2 linked regions of the Macaca fascicularis genome follow. Each later gene encodes a partner of the first gene's protein in a complex. Links are inferred from orthologs where the notes say so. Each region holds a gene or a part of one and is shown on either strand. Other genes may lie near its edges.

What was found.
Region 2: TAF4 (region 1) and TADA2B share a complex: the UniProt entries of both Homo sapiens proteins name them as parts of the TFTC-HAT complex. The link is inferred for Macaca fascicularis from reciprocal best matches to the Homo sapiens genes TAF4 and TADA2B.

Annotation. Positions count from the first base shown.
Region 1 is NC_088384.1:118,023,416-118,026,458, reverse strand, and holds the end of TAF4 (transcription initiation factor TFIID subunit 4), read left to right. Parts: intron 1-510; coding exon 511-678; 3' UTR 679-2,320; downstream 2,321-3,043. UniProt on the Homo sapiens protein: The TFIID basal transcription factor complex plays a major role in the initiation of RNA polymerase II (Pol II)-dependent transcription.
Region 2 is NC_088379.1:6,047,303-6,051,725, forward strand, and holds the start of TADA2B (transcriptional adapter 2-beta), read right to left. Parts: upstream 2,819-4,423; 5' UTR 2,818-2,818; coding exon 2,293-2,817; intron 1-2,292. Other genes in the region: CFAP184 (cilia- and flagella-associated protein 184), read left to right, coding at 3,195-4,423. UniProt on the Homo sapiens protein: Coactivates PAX5-dependent transcription together with either SMARCA4 or GCN5L2.

The sequences.
Region 1 (3,043 bases):
TGTGGGAGCCACTGAGCAACTCAGCCTTCGCAGCTGACCTAGCATGCCCAGTCCCAGCCGACCCCAGCCCTCCCAGTGCGGGAATTCAGCAGCCAAGCAGGATGACACACAGGGACCCAGTGTGGCTTTTGTACCCCAGCTGAGTCCACATGCAGTCCAGCTGTGGTTGCATGGAGGGTGGCCCTGGGGCCGCTCAGACATTTGCCTTGGGTGGGTGCCACCCCCTGGTCCATCCTCAGCCCCAGGAGCAGGTCTGAGCACTGTGGGGCATTGGGCAGTGTCTGAGTGTGCCCTGTCCTGAAGGCGCAGCATGAGGCCTCCTGCCCTTGCCCCTGCCCTGGCAGGGCCCTGGGACAGCACCTCAGCTCCAGCTGTGGGCCTACCGGAGGGAGCCCATGCCAGGCCTGGCCTCCTCTGGAATCGGGGTACTTGGTTCAGACACACAGGCCCCCATTTCAAGCCCCACTCTGGGCCCCACTAACACCCTGTCTTCTCCGTTTTTGTCACCAGGGGTCGGGCCCCGGCTCGGTGGTCCCAGGCAGCTCGGGGGTCGGAGCCCCCAGACAGTTCACGCGACAAAGAATCACGCGGGTCAACCTCAGGGACCTCATATTTTGTTTAGAAAATGAACGTGAGACAAGCCATTCACTGCTGCTCTACAAAGCATTCCTTAAGTGACACAGGAGGACGCCTGGGGACTTTTTATATATTTGCAGATTACGCCTTTTTGTAACAAGCAAATGGGATATTGTTTAAAAAACAGCCACCTCTTTACGATGGAACAGTTTTATATTTTCCTGTTTCTAAATCAACTCTTCAGTGTGAAAGAAAATACGTGTCTGTAACAGAGAGAACACAAAGGCCTGTGGATACTCTTAAAGGACAATTAAATCTTAACTCATCTTGATTGAGTGGCCTTCTTGCCAAACAAGCCATATATAAAGACTGATGGAATCGTTAGCAAATAATTAGCTGCCCTCTGTCAACTCATAGCAGTTTCTGCATTATTTGTGCATTTTGGTTTAGTTCTACCTAACTTACTGTGTAGGTGTATGTCTACAGCCGATGACCTCATTTTATTTTATTTTTGTAATAGTCAGTTAGCAAAGCAAACTGATTTTTTAGACTATTTATCTTCCTTCCCCTCCCCTCTCCCCCTACCCTCCTCTCCCCCTCACCCTCCTCTCTCCCTCATCCTCCTCTCTCCCCACCCTCCTCTCTCCCCACCCTCCTCTCTTCCCCGCTCCCCTCCCCTCTCCTCCCTCCCCTCTTCTCCCCTTCCCTCTTCTCCCCCTTCCCTCTTCTCCCCCTTCCCTCTTCTCCCCCTTCCCTCTTCTCCCCTCCCCTCTCCCCCTCCCCTCTTCTCCCCTTCCCTCTTCTCCCCTCCCCTCTCCCCGTCTCCCCTCTTCCCCCCCCCGCCTCCCCTCTCCCCCAGCCCTCCCCTCTCCCCCCAGCCCTCCCCTCGTCTCCCTTCCCCTCCGCTCCGCTGAGAATCCTGGAGGAATATACAATTCATCGTAGCACCCCCACCTCAGAGTGTAATCGAATTTCTGCTTGGTAGAGGCGGGGCCCAGCAAAGGTGGGCTCCTTCTGAATGTGTGGTCAGCATCTGTACAAATGCATTTTATTTGCTATAGTTTGTAAAGCTGTAAAGTTAAAAGAGATGAAAACCTTTTCAGCATAAATATATTTTACTTGCACTGTGTTTTTTAGCTAAAAGTGAAAACCTAGATTAAATAAAATCAAAGTTGAGAAGAATCATCAAAAGACTGTTTCTCGGTGTGAATCAAGTGTTGAAAAATGGTTGGTGTATTTTGTCAGTAATTGTACATAACTTTTGGCACATGACATAGAAATGGCTATGTAAACTATAATTATTTTGCTAAGAGACTGTATGCAAGCCTTGGGCCGACTTTACAGACGTCCAGAGCAAAGCCCCTTCTTTGTACCTATTTTTTTATTACAAATATACTAATTGGTTCTTTCTATTTTCAGAGGTTATTGTATGAAATTGTCTATTGATAGTACTTTTATGACTGTAAATACTCCGGCTTTCTCCGTGTGAATTCTCACATTAGACTTTAATTCAAGCGCGTGTGAACTGAACGCTGATCAGTATTTTTTATCAACACCTGAGAACTGTTACACCTTTTATTTTGTCTTTTAGGAAATCCCTGTCTTTCCATTTTTTCATGTAAATTTTGCACAGTTACTTGTTCATATGTAAATATTTTACTTTCAAAAATGAAGTTTTTAATTGCTATTGTTTTATATAGGATTGAAAGAAAATTAACTCCTTTATTAAAAACAAATTTATCTGTATTTGTTTTGCCTATTTTTCCCCCGTTTTCCAGTTTTAGATTCTGCTGCCAGATTGCACTCTGGCTCTGCTGAGGCACTGGTTTCTGAGCCACCTGTTGGAATCTGTAGCTGAGCCCCAGCAGAGCTGGGAGAAAGAACTTTCTCTGTGAGGACAGGGGCTGAGCCGCCCTGTGCGTGGAGTCCGGGGGCTGGAGACTGCGCTTACATCTTCTGCTCTCACAGGTGGAGATGAGCTGGGCACAGCTAGGAGGGGCGGGGGGAGGCCCAGCGCAGGGGGAGATGCACACAGAAACGCGGCTGAGGTGCCCAGAGGGCCCCAGCCCTGACGCAGACCTCCTGTGGCGAGAGAAGGCGTCTCCAGGGCAGTTTGTGGTACAGGTTGGCCCTGACAGGTTGCAGCTCCTGCTGGGCCCTCAGAGACTCAGCGCCAATGTGTACCGCACCACTCCCTGCCTTTGAGCACCTTGGAGAGCCTTTGGGAGCGGTCTCTGATGCGACTGGAGTCAGTCCCCCGTCATGACATTCACTCCACCTGGTGTGACGGAGCCACAGCGATAATACAGGTTTACTTACAAGTGCTGCTGGAGACACTGCCGCTGTTCCCACACCTGTTGCACTGCCCCACTGGGGCTGCCGTGACAAAGGACCACGGATCGTCCCACAGCTCTGGGGGCCACAGGTGCCAGCAGGGTGGGTTTCTCCCCAGGCTCTGGGGAAGGGT
Region 2 (4,423 bases), on another chromosome or scaffold:
CAGGCTCTCAGGCCTCGCCGTGGCCTGGCGCTGGTGCCGTGGGAGAACGCCCTGACCGCAGCCTGGCCAGGCCCCCTGTGCACCAAGCCCAAGCCCAAGCCCCATGCCCTTCCTCTCCTGGCTCTGTCTCCTCTAACAGCTGAGTCAGAATCTGCATTTTCACCAGCTCCCCAGGTGGTCTGTGTGCACATTAGTTCGGAAAGTATTGTTTTAGAAGACAGGCCTCTCCACTTCTAGCCTGGTTTCTTCCAAAACCAAATAAATGTTTTTGTTCCCCAGGTATTGTGTTCTGTGTATGTTCCACAGTGCCGCAGGGAAGGCAGTGCAGACAGTGTAGTTAAGAGTACAGGCTCTGAAGTCAAACTGGTCCATCCAAAGCCAACTGCCAAGGGCTGTCGGGAAAATGTCCTGAGATACGCGAAGATATGCCAGCAAGGCTCTGCGCCTCCTTAGCTGCTAACATAGAGATAATTGCTGGGATGGTGAAGGGAAGAGCCCTTTGAGGCACTGATATGTAAGTGGAAAGATCGATCCTGGGCCATGATTTTGGGGGAGAGCACTCTAGGTAGAAGAAATATAAAATGATCAAGGGAGGTAACAGATGAGATCTCATTGCTCAACACTTCTAAGGCAGCCTTAACTGAAGTAAAAGCCACTGAGGCCAGTGTGAGGCGCTCTGTGCTTCCAAAGCTCGCTCTGGTTATGGTGTGTGGAATGGGGGAATAGGGTGCAGGGGGAATAACGAACAAGGAGGCTCCCAAAGTGGTCAAGGCAAGAAGTAAACATCAGCCGGGACTACGGCTGTAAGAAGTAGTTTGTTCTGGATGTACTGTGAGGAGACAGCTGATAAACTGGATCAGGAACTTAGTGGAACAAGGAACTAAGGAGTAAGTCAAGAGGACACTAAGAGGCAGATAGGACAGGGAGGTGGCTGGACATGGATGGCTGTTGCTAGGGAGGAGCTCTGGGCCCAGGACCAAGTCAGTACCACACTTTAAGCTCCCTGAATGGAGGGATAAAAGCTTCTCTTTCCTTCAGAGTCCTCCGCCACTGTAGAATCTGCACGGAACACAAGCTCAGTGCATATCCACAAACAGCATGGAAGGACAAGATGGGCCAGAGTTTCTGAAAAATGGCGATCCCAATGCTGGTGGCCATTAGGTAAGGATTTGTAAAGGACCATCTTCTCTAAGGAGCTGGGAGGAGAATCAAGATTCCAGGGCTTCAGAATGGGTATATGAGGCGGTCCTGAGACTCTTTCAGGAAAGGAAAGCAAAAGGCAATCAAAGCAGCCCAGGCAGGACTGCTGGAGACGTGGCAGCAGATGGACGCTGTTCCGAGAAGCAGGCACCTGGTGTAGCAGGGGAAGACTCTGCAAAGCTAAGGGCGCTGGGGTGTCTCACTCCCCTCCTTCTCAGGGTGCCTGGGGATGGCCACATGCCTTTGGTGGTTATGAGTGGGAATACGGCTAGAGATTTTCTCCTTTCTAACACGGATGCAAGCTTCCAGAATGAAAGGAGAGCTGAGAAACCGCCCAGAGAGAACAACCATGTTCCTCTCTCAAGGACAGAACCTAGCACACGATGTTGCTAGCGTAAGTGGATCCAGTCCAGCTCTCACCGCTCCCCACACAGAGCTGTCTCTACAAAAACCTCAAACGTAAAGAGAGCAAAACCCAAGCCCCAGGCCTCCCAGGCCAGGCCTCTTTGTTCATTCTTTACTGACCACTCGCACAATGTCGTGGGTTGTGGAGACCCAAGCATTAACCAGGCACGCTACCCACAAAGAATCTGTGCACTGGCACACCACACAGGGCACATGCATACAATGACAGAAAGCAAACGGGGCCGCCCCAGAGACCCCGAGACAAGCCGCAGGGCGCCCACCGTTCTCCCTCCCTGGTGCTCCCACCGCTTTCTGTCGAGTCTGTGGGCCTGCCTGACTCCACGAACTCAGGTAAGGCACCGCGTCTCGCCCAACGTCTGCACTCCGCAAACGCCTGTGAAGGTGTCCCTGAAGGTGAGGGAAATGGCTCTGCTGTCAGAAACCAGCGTTCAAAGCCCCACTTGGCCCCGTCTCGGCTTTGTGACCTTGGGCGCGTCACAGCCTCTCTGAGCATAGGTTCCGACAGGTGCCCGACTATAAACCGGCAGCGTCGCCCTCCCCACCTCCGGGGCCTTCCGGGGTGCCGAGCGGAGCGAGCAGGTCCAGTGCTGCCTGCGCGCCCGATACAGGAGAGGCGCGGGCCTTCCTGTGCCCTAGCCGGGACCCGGCCCCTGTCGCGCTGCTCACCCAGTTTCCGAAGCCGAACTGCTCGATGGCGTCCAGCAGCAGCTGCTCCTCGCGACTGGTCCAGCCGCCCTCGGCCTCGGGCCCCCAGAGCGTGAAGCGCCCGCCGTCCACCAGCTGGTAGCCGTGGTAGCGGCGGTGGTGGCCGATCTCGGCGCCGGCCGAAAAGCACTCGGGGCACAGCTCGATGTCCTGGCACTCGGTGCAGCGGAAGCGCAGCGGGCTCACCTCGGCCAGGCAGTACACGCAGTACTTCTTCCCCAGCTCCGCCATCTTCCCCTGCTCGCCGCCCGCCGCCCGGCCCGCCGCAGCCGCCGCGCCCCCGGCCGTCAGCGCCCCGCCACCCGCGGGACCCGCCGCCGCCGCCGCGCACAAGCAACCGCCGCCCGTCGCCGCGGCTGCCGCCACCGCGGCCCCAGCCCAGCAGCCGCCGGAGCCAGCCAGCCGGGCCGCGTCCCGCCTCAGTACGCAGGCGCCGTCCGGCCCGGCCCGGCAGCCGCCACCGCGGCCGCTGTCGCCCCGCCGCATCGCGCAGGCGCCCCGCGGGCGCCACCTTGCGGACGCCCGGCCCACCGCTCTGCGCCTGCGCGCACCCCGCGCCGGCCGCCGCCGCCTTTCCCAGAGCCTCCTGAACGCCCCGCCCCAGGCCCAGCGGTGGGAAATGGGCAGGCAGAAAGCCCGGCGGGGACGCCACGCCCCTCGCGGCGAGAGCCCACGGCCGCTTCCAATCAATCTCGCCTATCGCCAGCTCGCGGCCTCCCATTGGCTTGCTCTCCGGGGAGAAGAGGCTGGACGACGGCCTGTCGCCTGGCCAATCGCCGGGCCCAGCGCGCGCGCCCTCGGTTGCCCCGGGAAACCTAACAGCATGCTGCCGGGGTCCGCTGCGCTGGCAGAGCCGGGCGGAGATGGAGGGCGGGTCTGAGCACACTAAGGACCCCGGCGGGGAAGGCGGAGACGGGGAAAGCCTGGCCGCGCGGCCGTCCAAGATCAAGGCCAGCTCCGGCCCTCCGACCCCTCCCGAACCCGGGGAGCTGGAGTCGGAGCCAGAGGAGGAGGAGGAGGAGGAGGAGGAGGAAGAGGAGGCTTCGCAGGGAGGCACAGCCGCGGACGAGCAGGCCAAGGCCCCGAAAGAGCTAACGGCAGCCGAGGCTGCGGGCGAGGAGGGGCCTGGAGAGCCGGGGAGGCCGGCCAAGCCCCAGCCCGAACCCGAAGAGCCGGCCGAGGCCGGGGCTGAGGAGCCCGTCCAGCCGAAGTCCGGAGCCGGGCCCGAGGAACTAGATGCGGAGGCGAGGGCGGAGGAGCTGGAGCAGGCGGCGGAGGGCAAGGAAGTCCGGTCCCAGGCCTCTCTGCCGCTGACCAGGATCGGCGAGGAAGAGGCTGCTGCAGCCCCGGAGGCCGAGACAGAGCGGGTGGAGGGGGAGGAGGAGGACGAGGAGGAGACACGGAGAGACAGCGCGGAGAGCGAGGGGAGGGCTGGGGAAGGACGCCCGGCCAAAAGCCAGGAAGAGGGGAAGCCCCTCGGTGGAAGGGACGAGTTTGAGGACCTGGAGTGGTCCGAGGAGGTCCAGAAGCTACAGGAGCAGCAGCTGCGCAGCGACCTCCTGGACCAGTACCGTTCCCTGCTGATGGAGCGGAACCGCTCCCAGCGCTACAACCTGTACCTGCAGCACAAGATCTTCGAGGCGCTGCGCAAAAAGAAGGGCCTGGAGGCGGCGGAGGTGCCTGACCGGGGCGCACAAGCAGAGGCCCCCGAGAAAGAGCAAGCGTACCTGCGCCATCTGGGCATGCTGGAGGACCTGAAGAAGCAGCAGGCAGACGACCTGCAGTGGTACCACCAGGAGCTGGGCCAGTTGAAGCAGCAGTGCCAGGAGAAGCTCTCAAGAGTGGAGAAGGAGTGGCGGCGCTTCCAGGCACTCAAGAAGCAGGTGGTGATGCAGGCCATGGGCAGCTGTCGGATGAGGGGCGGGCGCCAGGCTGCTCTGCGAGAGGTGGAGCAGATCCTGGCGTTGGAGGATAAAAAGGAGAAGGAGATGAGCGCCGTGCGGCTGGAGAACGTGCAGCTGAAGCAGAGCCTGGTGCATTTTGAAACCAGGATGAGGACCCAGGAGGACCTGACCCAGGGTCTGCTTCTTAT